3 linked regions of the Neodiprion lecontei genome follow. The protein of the gene in region 2 interacts with the protein of the main gene of each other region in a pairwise test. Links are inferred from orthologs where the notes say so. Each region holds a gene or a part of one and is shown on either strand. Other genes may lie near its edges. The genes, in order: guanine nucleotide-binding protein G(i) subunit alpha, G-protein-signaling modulator 2 and guanine nucleotide-binding protein G(o) subunit alpha.

What was found.
Region 1: the proteins of G-protein-signaling modulator 2 (region 2) and guanine nucleotide-binding protein G(i) subunit alpha interact in a two-hybrid assay, tested with the Drosophila melanogaster proteins (2 studies listed by BioGRID). The link is inferred for Neodiprion lecontei from reciprocal best matches to the Drosophila melanogaster genes pins and Galphai.
Region 3: the proteins of G-protein-signaling modulator 2 (region 2) and guanine nucleotide-binding protein G(o) subunit alpha interact in a two-hybrid assay, tested with the Drosophila melanogaster proteins (3 studies listed by BioGRID, with this or other methods). The link is inferred for Neodiprion lecontei from reciprocal best matches to the Drosophila melanogaster genes pins and Galphao.

What each region holds. Positions count from the first base shown.
Region 1 is NC_060264.1:31,887,233-31,894,035, forward strand, and holds guanine nucleotide-binding protein G(i) subunit alpha, read right to left. Parts: upstream 4,787-6,803; 5' UTR 4,291-4,786; coding exon 4,170-4,290; intron 3,098-4,169; coding exon 2,913-3,097; intron 2,701-2,912; coding exon 2,414-2,700; intron 2,272-2,413; coding exon 1,791-2,271; 3' UTR 572-1,790; downstream 1-571. UniProt on the Drosophila melanogaster protein: Guanine nucleotide-binding proteins (G proteins) are involved as modulators or transducers in various transmembrane signaling systems.
Region 2 is NC_060266.1:5,769,345-5,777,141, reverse strand, and holds the start of G-protein-signaling modulator 2, read left to right. Parts: upstream 1-1,674; 5' UTR 1,675-1,997; coding exon 1,998-2,048; intron 2,049-2,703; coding exon 2,704-3,072; intron 3,073-3,153; coding exon 3,154-3,296; intron 3,297-3,463; coding exon 3,464-3,703; intron 3,704-3,871; coding exon 3,872-4,343; intron 4,344-4,442; coding exon 4,443-4,466; intron 4,467-5,323; coding exon 5,324-5,929; 3' UTR 5,930-7,797. Other genes in the region: esterase E4-like, read left to right, coding at 1-141, 221-482.
Region 3 is NC_060260.1:39,891,573-39,896,539, forward strand, and holds the start of guanine nucleotide-binding protein G(o) subunit alpha, read right to left. Parts: upstream 3,119-4,967; 5' UTR 2,152-3,118; intron 1-2,151. UniProt on the Drosophila melanogaster protein: Guanine nucleotide-binding proteins (G proteins) are involved as modulators or transducers in various transmembrane signaling systems.

The sequences.
Region 1 (6,803 bases), on a different chromosome or scaffold from region 2:
GTGTTACAAATAACGTTATAAGCTCCGAAAATTTGACGTTAGTTCATAAGCTATGTAATTAAAATATGAAAAAAGCATAGGGCTGCTAGAAAAAAGTTGTTCAATTTCACTTCTCTTTCCAACAACGTTAAATAGTCAATCTAAACCCCATGCAAAATATCGACAAGATGACATTTTAAATATGGTTTATCTGATTTCATGAAAACAGTATCCAGTGTTTTGAAAATTAAAGATGAAGGGATTGCTTGGTAGCCTGTAGTTCAACAATCAGATCGTGCAAATGAAATAGAATGGAATGGAATGTCGTACTTCTCGGACAACGCGAATATACAGCTAGAAAGGTCCAACAGTAATATTGATTATTGTTGTTATTACCGTGAATTATGAAGTACACATATTTTGTTATTGCATGAGAAACAAAAAAAAAACGAACAAACAAACATACACGTAACTGTACACGTAAAAAAATACTTCGAAAACAAATCTATTTTCATAATAGACGAAACTGGAATTCATGAATTAAACCAGATATTATTATTATTGTTATTATTATTAACTAACACACAAATTGGTCCATTTTAGAGATTTTAGGTACTAGATTTGAGATTCCAGTAGATTCTTTCTCTTTCTCTTTTTCTTTTTTTTTTTGCAACATTTTCTTTCATTTTTCTTTCTTCTTCCACTATAATAAATTATATACAGAGACGATTGTTTCAGACTATTTTTTAAACTACAACACGATCGGAACAAAACCAAATTTGCTGGAGCTACTTAAAAGACATACATACATCTAGGGTGTTTAAAAAAAGTTTCATATATCTAGTCTAATATTGGTTTTATCTTCTTGCAATCTGGCTTACGGCGATGAATTTCATCAAACATCATCGAAAAAATCATAGAAACTTGTACGATGAAGCGAAAAAAAGGCACGTTGTCAATTTCCAGTTAAACAATGATAAATTGTTGTTTAAAATCGCTTGTTTTTATATTCAATTTGAGGAAACATAGTTTTCTTTCAATTGAGTAAAACTTTTATACATTTTTTCAATGACGTTTAAATATTTTTATTAAAATTTTCGCGAGAAGTTTCGGGTTTTACGACGCTTTCTCTCTGTCGTGTTATTTTTGGCCGAAATAGAATAATGAAATCTTCCAATTTAAAAGTAGAAACAAAAAATGAAATACTGAATACACAGTCTTTTTAAGCACCCTACGATCTCATCAATTTTTGATTAATAATTCCAGACATTAAAAATTGGTGTTCAGAAACTGACAAAAGACGACCGTGTTATAGTTTGTTATTAAAACGATATATCGAGTATATTATGCGCAATAAAGCTAATTTACTTCTAATATACAAAGTATAAAAAAAAGAAACATTAGAAAAGTGCCATGCTATGATTTTCTATAAACTATAAAGACGAGTTTTGCGCGGAGATTCTGTGCGGTAAAAACGTGCGTTTCGAAAAAAAAAAAAAAAATAGTTTTTTCTATCAAACGTGGATTATGATTTAAATTAGATTCATTTTGATTAAGTATCGCGTACTAGGAATGAAGATTTTAATTAAACACCTAATGTCTAAAAACTAAATGCCTGATGAGATTTGGTGAAAAATTTATATTTTTGATCCGGACAGACAATTCGCACGAGTTTTTAAAGCATTCCAAACTGATGAACGCCCTCGATTTATCAACCATTAATAACCAGTATTAGAGGTGAAAATTATAGACGTGTCGCGGATTCAGAATGTTTTGATTTAATCGGCATCATCGACGGATTCTGAAATTGTTCAGCTTAATAATAAGCCGCAGTTACTCAAGTTGTTCTTAATTATAACATCAGTCACAGCATCAAATACGAATTGAATGTTATTGGTGTCAGTCGCACATGTGAAGTGCGTGTATATTTTTTTACGGTCTTTTCTTTTGTTCAAGTTTTCAAATTTCATTTGAATGTATGATGCGCAATCTTCGTATGTATTCGGCCCTTTATATTCAGGAAAGCATATGGTCAAAGGGCTCCTCGTTATTTTATCCTCAAACAGATCTTTCTTGTTTAAAAACAGAATTATCGACGTATCGACAAACCATTTACTGTTACATATCGAATCGAACAACTTCATTGATTCTATCATCCTGTTCATCTCCTCATCCTCGGCCAAGACTAAATCGTAACCACTCAGTGCAACGCAGAATATTATCGCTGTTACCCCCTCGAAGCAGTGAATCCATTTTTTACGTTCTGATCTTTGTCCACCAACATCAAACATTCTGGAAAGAGAATAAGAAAGTAATTCCCGAGAACTTGGATTGACCATAGATAATTCAATATTGGGCTGTGGCGACATATTCATGGCAGTGCTAGAGACAAAAATTGATATTAATATGATGTTTGAAAGATTGAAGAACTCACTTGAAGTCAATCCCTTTAAACGAAAACTCCGTTTCAACGATTCCTGTCGTTTTGACTCTGGTCCTGAGAACATCCTGTTGTGTCGGTATGTAATGGGGTTGGGCAATGCGATCAAGAGCATTGAGGTAATATGCCGCCGAATCATTGAGCTGATATTCTCTACTACGTGTGAAACAAAGTTGTACTCCTGCGTCCTGCCATAATCTCTTCATTAATAAAACTAGCTCTCCCGTCAGGTCACCCTCCTCTGCTGCCGATGCTAGAGTGAAAAATTGCCTAGCAATATCCTAGAAGGTGACGAATTTATTAATGCATGAATACCATAAATATTAGCAAAAGTTTATTTTTCATCAGATAAAAGATCCCGGGATGCAATTTGAACAATTTTGATCATTTTTAACAGTAGAGTAATTCATTTAACGAAAATTGGAGTGGAAAATAATATTAACTTTCAGTCATTAAAACACGTTTACATGTTGCTTTCGAAAAATTTACGCACCACCTTATTTGGGTCTGCAAAATCAATTCTTAGCTGACCCATGGCTCTGATAATTGTCATCAGACTCTGTATAGTATTGCTATAAACAACCGGTTTATACTCTTCGCATTCTTCTTTACTGTACCCGGTTTCATGAATGATTCTCATCTGTTTAACGATCGTCGATTTTCCGGACTCTCCAGCACCTTGGAATAAAAATGAAATGAATTGTTGTAAAAATTACCTTGAAATAGATCGGGGGGAAAAAAAAATTGTCACATGTTTCTTGTAGCTTAGGAACATTAATTGAAGTTTTGGTCATTGAAAATTTTTTTTTTTTTGTTGCAAACATAATTCGTCAGGTATTTCAACATATTAATCATAATTCTTCTCAGCTCATAATTGAAATAATATGTCACCACCAGCTTTCCATGAGATAAGATAATAGTGAAATTTAATAATTGTGAAATCCATGAGTGTTCCCTTCCCTCAGCTGAATCATCTAGTGACGAGAAGCCATGTGTATACAGGCAGACATCAATCAGCTATTTTACTACAATCAACCATGCTGTGTGGATACATGCATTGCAATATCCTGTGTAGCATTAAGGAGGATAGGATGTTTTTTGCTATCTCATCTCATTGCCATGAGAAATAAGATGAGAGAAATTAGAAAAGTTCTAAACCCATTTGTGTAATGACCAGTGGTGAAAAAACCTCAGTTAGGTCAATTTCTAATAATAATAATAATTTTTGGTAAATTCAATTTGACAATATAGTGTAAGAGAAGGTAATTTAGAAGAACGACGAGTTACGATAAGAAGAAATGGGGTAAACAAAGATGAAAGAATAATTTTTCGCATCGTTTTGACGGCCGGATTCATCGCGGCCTTAATTATACCATTGAATCATACGTTAATTGGCTGTTTTTACCATTTCAATTAAGAGAACATGGTCGCGTTAGTCCCGTTCTCAGTAAACGAGGAGAGATAAAACGCTATCAAACAAACCGAGAAGAAACAAAAAGTAAATGGTAACACGTTAGCAATTTGCACGGGATGTGTAAAAATTAAGCGTGCGAAAACAAGCAGTATTTACGCACAGTTCGTCCGTTTTTGTTTCGTTTCTCTTTTGTTTTTTCATGTCCGCGAATCGCGGAACGACGGAAAAAACGATGAACGGGTCTCGGACGCGATAGCGACGAGCCGCGGAACGAAGAGAAACTTGCATAAAATTTAGTTCAACACATCGTTATTTTGTGTTTAGATGATAATTTACCAAGAAGCAGGAGTTTGACCTCGCTGGCAGCGCGTTCGCCATCCATTCTGAGATCTTTGTCAATTTTCTTAGACCTCTCGGCAGCCTCCTTGTCGCCGGTAGTGCTAACGGCGCATCCCATTTTTCGATTCTTTGCTATATCACGTTCAATAAATCGTTCAAATAGTCCTCGTTTCGAGTGACTGGAACGCCTGGCAGAAGTAAGGTCTGCGTGAAATCGGCCAGGATAAGATCGGCGCCGCAAATCGTATATCGGTCGAATCAAACTCCGGGTGACACTTGTTGCTTCGCCTTGTATTGCGTGTGGGAACCGCCCGCCCCGTGCACCGAGTGCAGCCAACGACAGAAGACGGAGGCCCCAAGTACCGACCGAACTCCTATTACACACGTATATCCGCACATACGACGGCTTGGTCGCAGTCCGGGTTTACCGATTCCCCAATAAACATCTATTACAGCTCACCGTCCACCCCCTCGCCTCTTTTATTCCACAAATTATTGTTCATTATTTAACACGAATACTACACGGGTCTGCTGCTCGACTTTATGTTTAAAACATTTGACGCGCCCACACCAATGACTTATCACGCAACTATGCGCCGACGCGCTCCATTTTAGACTCGACAAGCATTGGATGTGTAAGAAAGATCTAGACGGGTTACCAACTCGACATTTTGTACTCAACGATTCTAGCGCTATTTTAACGCGTGGCGGACATTTATATAATCAGCACCCGTTTTATCATGCCGAGAGAGTGTCGAGCCGTAGAGAGAGAGGGACGTACTAAGACCAGATACTCTCTCTCTCTACTATCTCTCTATAACTGCGTTAGACAAAGAAGGGAACTAGTCTTACCACTACCCTCTCCATGCCGTTTTCCACTTACACGAAAGGGTATACCAGGCTTCCTCCACGTCTATTTGTTTTAAGATCTTTTTTCTTGCCTAAGGTTGCGTTCCGAAATTTATTCCCAGTCTTGTCAACAATCCTTTATCTCTTTTGCACAACCGAGTTCGTGACTAGCTCTGCCTCTGTACTAGAGAGTTTTTAGTGCTACCAATTAGTTTCGCTCCGAAATTGTTTTCAAAAGTTTACCATTCGTTGAAGAACGGTGGCCAGTTGCATTACAATTGTGTATTACCGTTAATTTCGAGTTCTTGTTTATCTATTTAAAAAAGTACAGTCATGCGCGTAGTCGCTTCATGAAAGTGAAGCTACACGGTGGGTAGCCAATTGGAATGCCACGTTCTTTCATCATCGCGTTAATTAAACGTTGAAAAGATACCTCTGTTTAATGAGGAAATTACTCGAGACAAAGAATAAAATTTCTTTATTCAAAGATGAAAAAATGTCAATGAATTGAAACGATTTGATTTACTTTTAAATACATTTAGAAAATTGCATTTTATATTTTTCACGAAATGTCAGTATTACAGTTCACCCATCAGTCCCACGAGCAATCTATCTAGCGGGCTGAAAAACTTACATTCCTGGTGCAAACTGACACCGTATAAAAGTGCATAAAATTCAAATAGCGGTGTCATTAATCATAAAATGATGAGTTATGTCTTGTATTCAATTACAAATATTAAAAAAAAAACTCGCATTCATACTGAAGTTATTTTAAGTTTCAACATTAAAATAGTCCGTAGAATGTTGTATTCCATATTCATAAACCTGCTTTTTGTGGCGGTTAATACGTACAAATTCTCGTGATTGTATCAATATTTAAAACGCAGCACAGAACTTTAATGACGGCAACCTATTACAATAATTTTGCACTCGTTATATTGACAGGATTAAAATCAGCGTCCCGTGTAAGGATGCTCGTTGTTCTGTCGTCAAAATAGCAATTTACCAAATTGGCAAGCGTCTGTAGGTATATCTTGGGTTACAACAGAGCACGTTGTCATTCATTTATGCATAGTTATTCCGTTCGTTGGACCGGATTTTTCTCAAGACACTTTTTTTTTAGTCCCAGTTCCAATCGCTCTGTAGCCTTGCGTCTCCTTATGTTACATGACATTGAAAGAAGCGTCCGATTCTATTATGCAATACATTTATAGTAAACCTGAAATTAGAACTGCTGCATCGGTTGAGTTTTTTTTTTTATCAAAATGAAACAATCGAAAGGAAAACTCAAGTCTCTGCCGTTCGAATGTGTCAATTATTTTACTTCGAGCAGTTTAGTAAAATATCCAGTATGGAAAGCTGGGTAGAAAACTAGGTCGACAGAGATTGACAATGATGGAAATTCTTGAGCGAGTAACCTTGAATTGAATGGAAATGAACAGTATGAATTTGTTCCGGAGATATACAGTCTCTATACACTAAATAAGGATATCGCGAATCGATTGCGTAATTTATTTTAGTCTGCGTAACGAATTTAAATTTCATTTTAACGACATTGTAATCTGTTTTAAATCGTTGATAATGTTGAACACAGCTATTTCAAAAAAAATTTCATCTAGATTGCGATTGATTAGCCACGATAGTGATAAATACATATTGTTCCGAATTGATTATTTAATTCAATGGTCATCATTTTCGCCGCAATAATCGAATGTGTAAAAATGGTAAAAAAACGATGTTTCTTCATTCATTGAATCGTAGCTCTGGCATACATAGACCTAA
Region 2 (7,797 bases):
AGCTCACGGTGACGAAACCTTTTACATCTTTGCACCTGAACCGCAGTTTGCCAGACTAAATTTGAACAAAACCACGACCAGAAGAGATTTGGAAATCGTAGACATCATGGTTCAGTTGTGGACCTCCTTTGCAACCAATGGGTAAACCGTTACTAATCAGTAAATTGCTATTATTTCACTAATTTAATTGGCAAAGTGTGTTAAAGAATTGATTTTTCAGAACACCGACGACTTTGGCTTCAAACGGCACAATATGGAAACCATTTTCGGCTGTAGAGAGAAACTATCTTCAAATAGGAAACGGATCTGAAGTTTCGCTCAAAGTTCAGCATTCTTTCTTTGAGGAGCGAATGAAATTTTGGGCTACCTTAAAAGAAACTCCAAAGACCTTAACTGTCCTATCAAACGGCTCAAATGCCATAACATCCAAATTTTATTCATTATTCGTACTTATGTTATCTTTTTCAAAGATATTTTTGTAACAGCGATGAAGAAATGGATAAAAAAATGGAGTCTTTGGCAGACAACTGAAATATAAACCTCAGTATAATCAGTATTAAATAAATAGTAGAGTCACGACGAAAGGGGGATGTTCGTTAGTTTTATTCCATCTTGTGATATTTCCAACAGTTATGTGAATCTTCTGATTAAAAAATGCTGACACTCACGCCCATTTTCTCCGATACAGTTTGAACGGCGTTCAATTTCTTCTGTAAGGCTTGGAGCTAGGCTGAACTTAGTTTAAACTTCGATTACCGTTGCAGGATTCGGATCTTTTTAGAGTTGGGTTAGCTAGCACTAGTATGGAATAATCATAAGCAATAAGCATGGATATGGTCATTCCAGTCAGATCTTACATCCTATGCATACTGAGTGCGATTTTTCTAGAATTTTTCTTCTGCTATTGGTTAAAAACTAGAGAAAGCGCAGTTGTTGCGACGATTATACAACCGTGGTCGTTGCGCTCCGTGTGCAACCAGTGAAAAGCGCTTACTACTAGAGAGTTACTACGTTTACGTACGATCGTTTCACACATTATGCGTTGATTATATGTATAATTTGTACCATGCTTATGCACACCACTAATAATCTGTACATTGTATAAACGGCGCATGATGCTTTAATAAAATTAAACAAAATTATTAAACTGTACAAGTTAAACACACTAAAAGTGCAGGAAGGATGGGTAAACTTAGTGAATTATAATATGTTTTTGCTGTTCGACGTGAAACATCATTTCTGAACCTCAAATAGTTTATATTAAGGGTGCGTTCAGAAACTAGGTGGCAGTGCTAAGAACTCCCTAGGACAAGGACAGAGCTACTCCCCAACGCGAAAGCGCAAAAGCGATAAAAGATGATTAACACTTGGAGCCAATTTCGGAACACAACCTGTAATTCAGTCAGTGCATTGCATACGAGACTCAGGGTGCGTTCCGATATTACCTTCCATTGCTGTTAACAATATTTTATTTTTTTTGCATTGTCGAGTTCATCAGTAGCTCTGCCTTTGTCCTAGGGAACTGTTAGCGCTGCCACCCAATTTCGGAACGCACCCCTGTATACAACGTGAACACCACGAATACGACCGTTTGCATTCAGAGCCGTCTGGTTACAGTGATGCGTACTACAAGCCGGCCCCAAACCCCCCAAACTAAATTGAATAGGAAATTGTACGCGAAGTCGCAAACGCGCCATAGTGTCGATGCGCGGTTAGGGTGACGCGTTGATATCCGTGTGAATTTGCCGTAAACAAGTGAGAGTGTTGGTATAACAATAAATAATTTTTATTTACCGCAACAACTAATAGATAATTTCCAAAAAAAATGCTAAACTGTATTGATTCGACCTTTCTAATTGACGATCTATTGACGAAGGGGAGTGCCTCGTACACGTAAAGCTTAGCTCACGTCAAATTACACTTAACAATTCGTCGCCAGATAACAAATTGTTTATTCTTACCTTCAAAAATCCTTATAACCTGCTAGTACTCGACCAATGAAAATGTCGCACAGTGCGAGCGCGGAAAATCTTTCAGTAGACGGTCAAGTAAGTGAATCACATGTCCTTTTCTACCTCATTATTTGTCACTTGTCACTTAAATTCTTCAGTATATATATATATATATATGAGCCTTACCTACGTGCACTGAGTCATATGGGCATTTATTATGCTGTTCACAGAGAATTCTTTCCCACTTGTCATAGGATACACTGCCTTCCTAATCCTCTTACATTTTGCATTTTTCTCAAAATGAAAATTAAACTTCACCTCTTATTCCTGCAAAAAATTAATATAATCAAGTACTTTACTATTTTTTTTTGTTTATTCACTTGTTATTAACGGTAACTAAACTTAATCTCCCTCATCATGCGTCTCGTTACATTATTCTAGTCAAAATAACTCTGAACCCCAATTTGACTTACGTAACAATTTGATTTTCAATTAGAGAACGATACCCTATTTATGTTCGTTACAATAAGCTGGATTATGAGATTTACAGGAACAATATTGCTGTTCTACTAAACAATTTCAAGTGAAGCAAAATTGCCATATACTCTATATCCTCAATAAATTGGTAAAAATAGAGTAAATGCAGAAGAATACCTTGTAACTCGCGTTTAATCGTTGCTTTTAATACTTTACCAACATTAATTAATTGGCTAAACTATGTAAAAACATAAAACGAGTTTGTCCTTTACAGAATAGCGGGGGAGATAGCAACATGTGTTTGGAATTGGCCCTTGAAGGCGAGCGTCTTTGCAAGGAGGGCGATTGCCGCACAGGTGTTGCATTTTTTCAAGCAGCAATACAGGCTGGAACGGACGACCTAAGAACGTTGAGCGCGATCTACAGCCAACTTGGAAATGCTTACTTTTATCTTGGCGATTACGTCAAAGCAATGCAGTATCACAACCATGATTTAACATTGGCAAGAACTATGGGAGATAAATTAGGGGAAGCTAAATCGAGCGGAAATCTTGGAAATACTCTGAAAGTTATGGGAAAGTTTGACGAAGCTACGATATGCTGTAAAAGGCATTTAGAAATATCGAGGGAACTAGGCGATAAGGTAAGATTTTTTATTCACCTCTGTTCCGCTCTTCCTTCCTCATGCATTCTCATTTTTAATCAAGCATTTTTTATGCATCAGCTCAGCGAAGGTCGAGCTCTTTACAATCTCGGAAATGTTTATCACGCCAAGGGTAAACAAATTGGCAGAGTCGGACAGCAAGATCCAGGAGAATTTCCTGAGGATGTCAGACAGTGTCTTCAGGAAGCTGTTCATTACTACGAGTATGTTACTTTTACATCTATAGAATAGCTTGTCTTCAAATTCAGTAATATTATATACGTACTGGATACCGCGGCTTTTTAATATTTTTTGCTCTGAAATGAATGCGTTGCAGTAGTGGCAACATTTTAGTATCCAATTACCTGATTGAACAATTGTGATTTCCTAGAGAAAATTTGAAGCTGATGAGAGAGTTGAGCGATACAGCTGCACAAGGGAGAGCATGTGGAAACTTGGGAAACACATTTTACTTGCTGGGTGATTTTCAACAAGCAATTCATTACCACAATGAAAGATTAAAAATTGCACGAGAGTTTGGTGATAAAGCTGCGGAAAGACGAGCCAACAGCAATTTGGGGAACTCGCATATATTTCTCGGAGAATTTGAAAAAGCAGCTCAACATTACAAGTAAGTTATCAGCGGGTTGAAGCCGAAGAACTTTGAAATTTTGTTATACCACAGGTTGATAACTCCTGATCCATTTTCAGAGAAACTGCTATTGAACTGTACAAAATTTCTCAAGGTGCGTTACTTCGTTACATGTTAAAATAATTAAAATTCAAAATTTGTTCACAGACGTACGCTGGTCCTTGCTCAAGAATTGCGTGACCGAGCGGTAGAAGCACAAGCGTGTTATTCCCTTGGCAATACCTACACGCTCCTCCGCGATTACCAAGCTGCTGTAGACTACCATCTCCGTCATCTTTCCATTGCGCAACAGCTGATGGATCGAGTTGGAGAAGGTCGAGCCTGTTGGTCGTTGGGAAATGCTTACTCAGCAATGGGTAACCATGAGAAAGCGTTGCACTTTGCCAGCCTACATTTGAATATTTCTAAAGAGTTGAACGATCCAATGGGTCAAGCTACCGCTCAGATGAACGTTACCGATCTGAAGAAACTTTTAGGCTTAGAAAAAGGGGACGGAGAAGCGGAGAGTGGAAACGGAATGCATTTAATCCCAACGAGCAAAGCCTCGGCTATAGCGGCTTCTTCGCCAGGTAGATACAGGTTGAGAAGACAGAGCATGGACAATCTGGATCTGATCAAGGTGAGCGATAGAATGTTTTTGTTCAATGCATCTCTAGACTGCAAATAGTTCTAAAATAACCGAATTTATTGTAATTATTCGGTATTTCCTTGCATATAGTTATTTACAAGGACCATGGAACCGGTAATACTTTCTTCTTTGAACAAAGATTATTGTGTATTAATATGTAGAATAACCAGATAGAAGTAAAACTACCAATTTTCAGTAAACAATACAACGTTCGAAGAGTCTGGTAATATAGAAAATAACTGTCGAAAAACCCCAGTGATTTTTCTTTGCAAGGCAATATCAAGGAAATTTTTTTATGAAAATTTTTCTTTGCACACATTTCACAAATATCATTTTTTCTCCAATCTTGTCCTATCTTGTTGTTCCATTCATTATGCATAGAATCTATAAGGCAACATAAAGTTGAGTATTGAATAACAGAAAGTTATTCAGTAAGAACAGTATCAGTTTTCATTTTAACATTTTATTATAATTTTGAGAAATATCGAATAACCTTGTTAATTAGAGTAATTGACGGTATGGATGGAATAGCTAATTGTAAGTCAATTTAACTATTTTTCCGGTGATCAGTTCAGGAAAAATGTATGGCCCAACTCTATAGGTTGTGTTACTTTACTTCTTGTGACCAGAAAACAAAGGTCACAACAGAATAATATTTTTAGACCATGAAAACATATCGTTCTAAAAATCATCACACGTCAAGCTTTCCTAACAATTCCTGTTAAACCTCTTATTAAACATTAGCATTTTCAAATTTTGTGCAAAGCATCTTCAACTCAAGTAAAACCATTGTCGCAAAAGATTTAAATTGGCTACCTTCAGATTCAGCTCATGTTACAATGCTTATACATTTCAGAAAACGAAGACGTTGATCAACATGTATTATTGACTGAAAATTGATAAATTTTCCCTTTATCCATCATGTATACAATCTGAAGTTATTGTAATTCATTATCCAAATTTTTATCCAGTTGACTCCAGATGGTAAGCAAAAAGATATGGGTGAGCCTCTGCCTGCTAGAGCCGGAATCGCACCACAGCCTTCGCAAGAAGAAGAAGAAGAATCTTTCTTCGAACTTCTATCACGATTTCAATCAGGTCGAATGGATGATCAGCGCTGTGTGCTAAATGCCAATCAAAAACCGAGACCCAGGCCAAGAGTGGCGACTCCAGAAAAAGAGAAAGAAGGAGAAGATTTACTGGAGCTAATAGCTGGAATGCAAAGTAAGCGAATGGATGAGCAGCGTGTAACTCTGCCTTGCTTGCCAGGATTGAATACAAACAGGAACAATCAGTCAGCGAATAGGCCTCCCCCACAGCCAATTGGGCAGGAAGCTGATGATTCATTTATTGAAATGCTGGTGCGATGCCAAGGCTCACGTTTAGAGGATCAACGTAGTCCTTTGCCAGCTGCTTCAACATTACACGATGCAGAGGAGGAACAAAACCAAAGAAGAAACGGAAACACCCCATCAAGAACTACCGTACCCGAAGAAGATCTGTTTGCCCTAATTCAGAGACTGCAGGCTGGTCGCATGGAAGATCAACGAGCTTCTGGACCAGCAAAAGGCCATTAAAACTGTAAGTAAGTATACCAACTATTTGATGAAAATAATAATAAATTAATACTAAGCAATCTTTGAAAAAATAACATTTTGGAAAGGTATCACCACTGTATAATCAACATGAGTAACTACAAATTTTCGGTGTAACCATTTGAATTTTGTAAAAATCAACTCATGGTGATTACAAATGATATGTTCAAAAATGTTACATTTACAATGTAATCAATGGCTAGGTGGTCGATAAAAATTTGTACAATAGATTCTTTATAAGTTCTCGCATGCTAATTTCCTCTCTTTTCACAAAATAGTCAATCGGGTGACTTTTCTTCTACCTACAATTGTGTGGTGCTCCCTAAAGTTTAATTAAAACTCTGTGTCCTGTCCAAATCGCATTTCGACCCTTCAAATAGGATGGTTTGTTTTCTGCCCAACTTTGCTTCTTTGACCACAGTTTGTCACATTAAAAAGAAACATTTTGATATCTTCCATGTTATTTACATCAAAAGGAGATATTTTGTCACAAGGTTATGGTGAAAATTTAGTAAACTAGTGCCGTGAACCAAATATAATACTTTTATGGAAAGCAAAATCAAACGACACTATCAAATTTCTTAAACCACCTAATAATTGATTATTTATCATTGAAATCGTGCCAAAAAAGTATCATGAGACTCTTGGATAAACGGACATATACTGAGATGTAAGTCAGAGTACTGCACAAGAGATTACAATTATCTTTGTGATAGATGTGTATAAAATTGTATAAATGCTGCGACAAAATCTATTAACAGTAAAATATATGTAGAAAACGTTAGAAAAATGTGGAGTAGGATACTGATCGGTTTTGTTGACTTTTTTCAACACCGTTACAATGAATCTTGAATATTTTGTTTCTCATTCACAATCCAAAAGAGTAGTGCATAAGGATTATCATTCAAACATAAAAAATAAAGGTACTACTAGATATGTACCTATATCCAATGCAGGAATCGAATGAACCGAAAGCCATAAAGCTAATATAGTTAAAGTAGTATTATTAATATGAAAAGTAAGTTAATCAATTTATTACTTCTACGTTTTGTCTGTAATAGGTCTCTTTTTTTCTTTTTGTCCCATTTGAGCGTCAGCAAATTTCTTCAACAGCCTAACTCTAGAAATCCAGCTTCTTAATTGTAAAAATATGTATTCGCCCTTGTAATTGGTGGTATGTACATACGTAGTATTATGTACATTCAATGCAGTTTTCCGAATTCATTACTATACTAAATTTCGATTACTTTTCGTTATATTGATTTGAAACATTATATAAAATTCAAACTAACATTTGATGCCACTCCGGATATTACATGATGAAAGCACATGCAAAACAGTAGACATTTGCAGTAATCAGTTATCTTCATAGACAAATCCCATCGGATAGCGTAGTGTTGTCTTGACGGTGCTAAGATCACTAAATAAAATACCATATTACATTTATTATTAATCGTTCCAAAGTACTGATTAAATTTATTCTTCACAGAGAATATATAGTAAAGAATCCTTTTTCGTATTTCGTAATTTTTTTTCGAATGAGGTAGTTTTTCCAACGCATGTATATTTTAATAATTAGGACGCACAATCTACTGTTTGTTGTTATTGCTAAAAATATACTCAGAGATAGTTGTCATTAAAATATTTACAGCCTTGTCGCTAACTTAAGTGGCAAAGAAATTAAATTTGAGAGTAAATCAAATGTGTGTTTCTTCCTTCAGATGAAATTTACTCTCCATGTTAACTGTTTAGCTGTCATTCAACAAGCCAAGTTATAGTATCCAATATGGATTAAATTTTATTGTAAAGCTATGAAATTCATAATGCGAACTATGCATAGACGAAACGAT
Region 3 (4,967 bases), on a different chromosome or scaffold from region 2:
ATGAATAGTGAATTAGAATTAAAAAAACTTCCGCTACAGTCGAATTTAATTCTTCCTTATTTTCGACTCCCATCTTACTACGTATAACATATACATATGTACGTAGGTATAATCCTCACCGCACGTATTATACCGCATTATATACCTACATCGCTGCGGAAGAGATGCGTTAATTTAAATTTGACCCGAAATTTCCGGACTTCAGAGACCGTTATACACGTATCTTGCCCCGCTTCGTTAAATACTGTACATACATGCACGTAACATGTGTGCATTTGAAATTTATCTACCTCGTACGTTGCTTTCGTTTCTTTTGGTTTTTTTCTAACCGCTTAACAATTATTCAAGACTCGTTACGCGAACGTCAGCGATTCTCTTGTAAGAACGCGAGATACGATTCTCGCAGTTGATAACACACATGCCATTAAATTCACGAGGATGAACCCTAGCATCCAGAATCCACAGCGAAACGTTCTAATGTTCATTCGAATAAGGTAGCGAAGACCGATAGTCAAAATTTCGTGAAAAAACCTTGAACCTCCGATACTTTTATAGAATTAAGAGGATGAAACTAAAATGCATTTTTCCATTTCCAAAAAGTTTAACTCTGGCTGCTAGCTTCAGCTTCTTCTTGAATAAATCGTGAATGAAACAATCCATTTCGAACGGAATCTAATCGATAATAACGAGATTCTAATCGAAATCAAACTCGAGTTAAATTTTCTTTCGTGCTCCCTAACGTGCCTTATTATTGTAATTAATATACCTACGTAAAAAGAAAGGCGTGACGAAAGTAGCAGGAAAAAAAAGTCGTCGAAAGAACACGCAACGTCGGGCATGCAGCAGCTTGAACGAGGAACAATTCGTTTTTCACGAAGTTAAAAAATCGACCGCCGAGGTTTTCCTTCATTACACATTTGAATCTCGGAGGCGGCGTACAACAACGGTACGAAACGTATATACATACTTGTGTCGGACATGTACGCACGGGGGTGGGTATTTATTTTAAGAAATATGAGCGTGTATGTAGCAGCGAACTCGAAAGCTGCCGCAGAGGCGGACCCGATCTCCGGATTCTCCGGCAGGCACTTATTCATCATGCTTCATTGGTGGGGGTCGCCGGCTGCCGATGGATACAGCAGTGAAAAGCAGCGGCAACTCTGCGAAGAGCGAACCAGCAAACTAGCGATTCTCCGTTTCGTTCCCGGTCCTGAACGACGAGAGCGGGGCACCGCGGTAAAAATCCCGTTTTAATCTACACCGTATCTATCTACTATCTACCGCAAATAATTACGCACCGACTACGCGGCGCCGCGTCGACGTCCTTTCATTGTCGGTTTTCCTCTACTTGTTCGCGCGAATCCGCAGATCGAATACAAAATTGTTAACGAGGATGTAACCGCGTTGCGCGACATCTACATCTTCACAATAAACTGCATGCTCTGTTCTTATGCATCGTATTACAGATCTATGCAACCTATGCTCTTCGAATAGTTATTTTCAAATTTGAATTTCGAACGTTCGACCGCGGCTTGCTTCGAGCCAAACGTCAACAGCAGACGATCGTTCTCGCGCTTCGTTCGCTCAACGACGATTACGATTCGCTACGCTTTTCGAATACTTGTTTCCAAATTTGAATTTCGAACGTTCGACCGCGGCTAGCTTCGAGCGGAACAGCAACAGCAGACGATCCTCCTCGCGCTTCATTCGCTCAACGACAATACTGGTTCGCCGAAATATCGCCCCGAAATTCACACTGGGTCTGCTCGGAGCACGTGAAGGCGTGCACATCGAAGGTACCTGCGAGCTATTGACTCCGAGTCCCGAGCGGGCGCGAACGGGAAACGAGACGCGGGGACGGAAAGACGGTGATAAGCCGACATCGCGAGGGATCGAGCAGCGGCGGTGGCACTGCACGCACCCTCCTACGCACGCCACCAGCGAAGCGGCGGCCGCAAAGCAATTGACTCGCCTCTCTCCCCCGTCCGAGGAGCGGAACGCCGCCCGCGTTTGATTGGAGTGCCATATTCGAGCCTAGGGAGTCGGCGGCGGTTGTTTCCCTTATTTTTTCATTTTCATTTTCTCTCTCTCTCTCGCTCTCTCCCTCTGTCTCTTTCCCTCTCTCTCTCTACCCTTTTCGTCATCACTTACTTTCGAAGCCACCCCGCGAACTCGGAGACCGATGAAACGGCTTCCTCCTCGCACGTCTCCTGCTTCCTATGTCCAAGGGTGGTTAAACCGCGCCGTTGCAGCACCGCGGAACTCGGACATTCATACACCCTGGACTTTCGACTCCGTCGGATCGCCTGGCTGCCTCTGCCTTTAATCGTATCACACTGCCTTTGCGGGTCGTTAACTCCCTGCTTTATTCTCGAATGATGGATTTTGAATTTCGATTATTATCCCCGTAACGATGCGTTCTCGCTTGTATTGTACCGTTTTTTTTTTTTTTTTTTGCCGATAATTATATCACCGTGATATCGCGACGAGAGAATTATTGGGGATTTTTTTTCGCGCACTCCCGGTCACTTGTATTTTCCGATACTATGTATTTGATCGATAATTTGAGAATCGTAAGCCCCGGCACAGCCCCGTCTCTCAGGAGGTGGGTTGGTACTTTTTACACAATCCAAACGGGGGGTATACGCTCTGCCGTTTCTCCTTACGCGTTTTTTGAAAAAAAAATTTTTATTTTTTTTATATGTATATATATACTCTGAATCGTTCACCGGCGACGCGCGGTCACTTCTATTTTTCTTCCAAAACTACGAGTTGATATCACTTCTCCCTCTGGCTCTCTATTCTCTCTGGATCTACTCCGCCACCTCTTCGCCGTTTGATTGATGCATAAACACTCCCGAATACTCTTCCGTTTATATATCGTCCCGCGCGATTCGTCCACCTTTCTTAGGTGCCTTCTTCGCTTTCTAACAGCGAAATCGAGCTACGCCCGGGCTGTGCCTTCGTCGTGACTCTAGCTCTCCTCCCCCTGCGGGAACGCGATACAAATTTTTCTAAAACCGATCGAAAAACGTCTTTTGACAGCGGCAGGCTGGACGCGTACTGGCAGCTACCTCGACGCCAGCGACCTCTCGCCCCGCCCGAACCTTCGCTCGCTGCTGGGGACGAGCCGGCCGCCCGATCAATCCCACGCACCAGCCCACGGGCCCCGCGTCTAGGCAGAGGACCGAGATCCTGTTTGCTGGAGATTCAAACTACAGCCTGGCGACATCTGGCGTCGCTTGCCCGAACCAACGGTCGCCACTTCGCTCGGCCGGTAACGACGAGAGTTACGGTACTGAAATACTGCCGGAAAGATAGGACGCGAAGATTTGAAACGGGGCGGGGGGAAGGCTGACTGCTGGAATTTTTAAGACTTTTGATTGCTTGCTTTCAAATTATATCCGTCTTGGCAGACGAGTAAAGTATTAGTTGGTATGCTTCTTCGAAGGAAAACAAAATTTGCGTTATTTTTAAATAACGCAATAAAAAATATCGTTGTTCAACGAAACGTGTCACGAATTGTCTTCTTTTGCAACTTGATTATGGAGGCTGTATGCATACATCTCAAATCCTAAATTGCTGTGAGGGATATACGTGGTAGAACGAAACGATTCACGTTTGGCAAAATGCCAATATTCATTCACAAAGTTGAAACTCATTGTCGAGAATTATTCAAATATTCAGTCTTAACGGTGAATATATAGACATATATATATATACGTATGTACACCACAGTATCCGGTGATAGTTTGTTTTTGTGTGTATACTATCGCTTCTTGGCATGACATCGTGATGTATTTCTTATTTTATTCTATCATTAATTACTTAAATTTCTTATTTCTTTCGCGGCTGAATACGAGAACTTTTTACTGCGTTCAATGAACGTGTAATAATGCAACGACGATCCCGAATCTTAGTTATGTACAAAAGAAAAACCTGCGACTTATCTCGTTGTAAACTGATCAAATTTACAGTTCAATAAAACCTGAATTTAATTATTCATTCATTTATTTCCGTTTACACACGGGTAAAAATTATGCCACGATATAATAATGTATCAACCTATTAAAATTCTACATGTATGCCGTGCATGTGATATTCTGCCTGACAGACCTTGATCAACACTTGCTATTTTGCACGAACGTACTTAATCTCCTCCACCTCCGCCTCCTCCTTCTCCTCTTCCTCCACTTCCTTCTTCTCGCCGAACTTTTGTAACGTACAACGTGTGTGTGTGTGTGTGTGAGTATAAATAGCAAGATCTTTTATACAATTGCCTAATAAATAATAGTTGGCGTATCAAAGTAACGACCGCTTGCAGTATAAAGATCGTATATGTGTAAAGTTTGGATTCAAAATGAAAAGAATATTGGAAGCTGCACGGTTTGATCAAGGCTGTATAATTCGAATTGTAGATGGTAAATAAGAGAGAGAAATAGAAAAATACGAAATACAAAATTATCAAGCCTAAAGTAACGCCAGTGAATATGTGAAATTACGGATGCGGAGATAATTGAAACAGAGTTTCATAGTTTTTACATAATAATTTGATTATCGCAGACTCATGTACTGTATACGTATAATATATTTATGAATTTTTGTATGCATAGGCGAATCAGTATATGTATAGAATATATATATATGTATATATTATTGCAATATATGCGCTTTTTTCCACTGTACTTTATTGAAAATAATATATATATATTTATTATTAATATTTATATATATATATTATTTATTATGTATCTATGTATATATTTTGGTTATTATCAAACAACACATGACATTCCTGATATCATATTTACATCGAGTGTCTATTACAATTACTCAGTTTAATGTATTATCATATCGTACAATAGATATTATTACATAGTTATAGGTCATTTAAAAATTTGTGAAATATGTTAAAAGTGCCCAACTCTACATGTCGTATAAGGTGTGTATATATATATATATATATA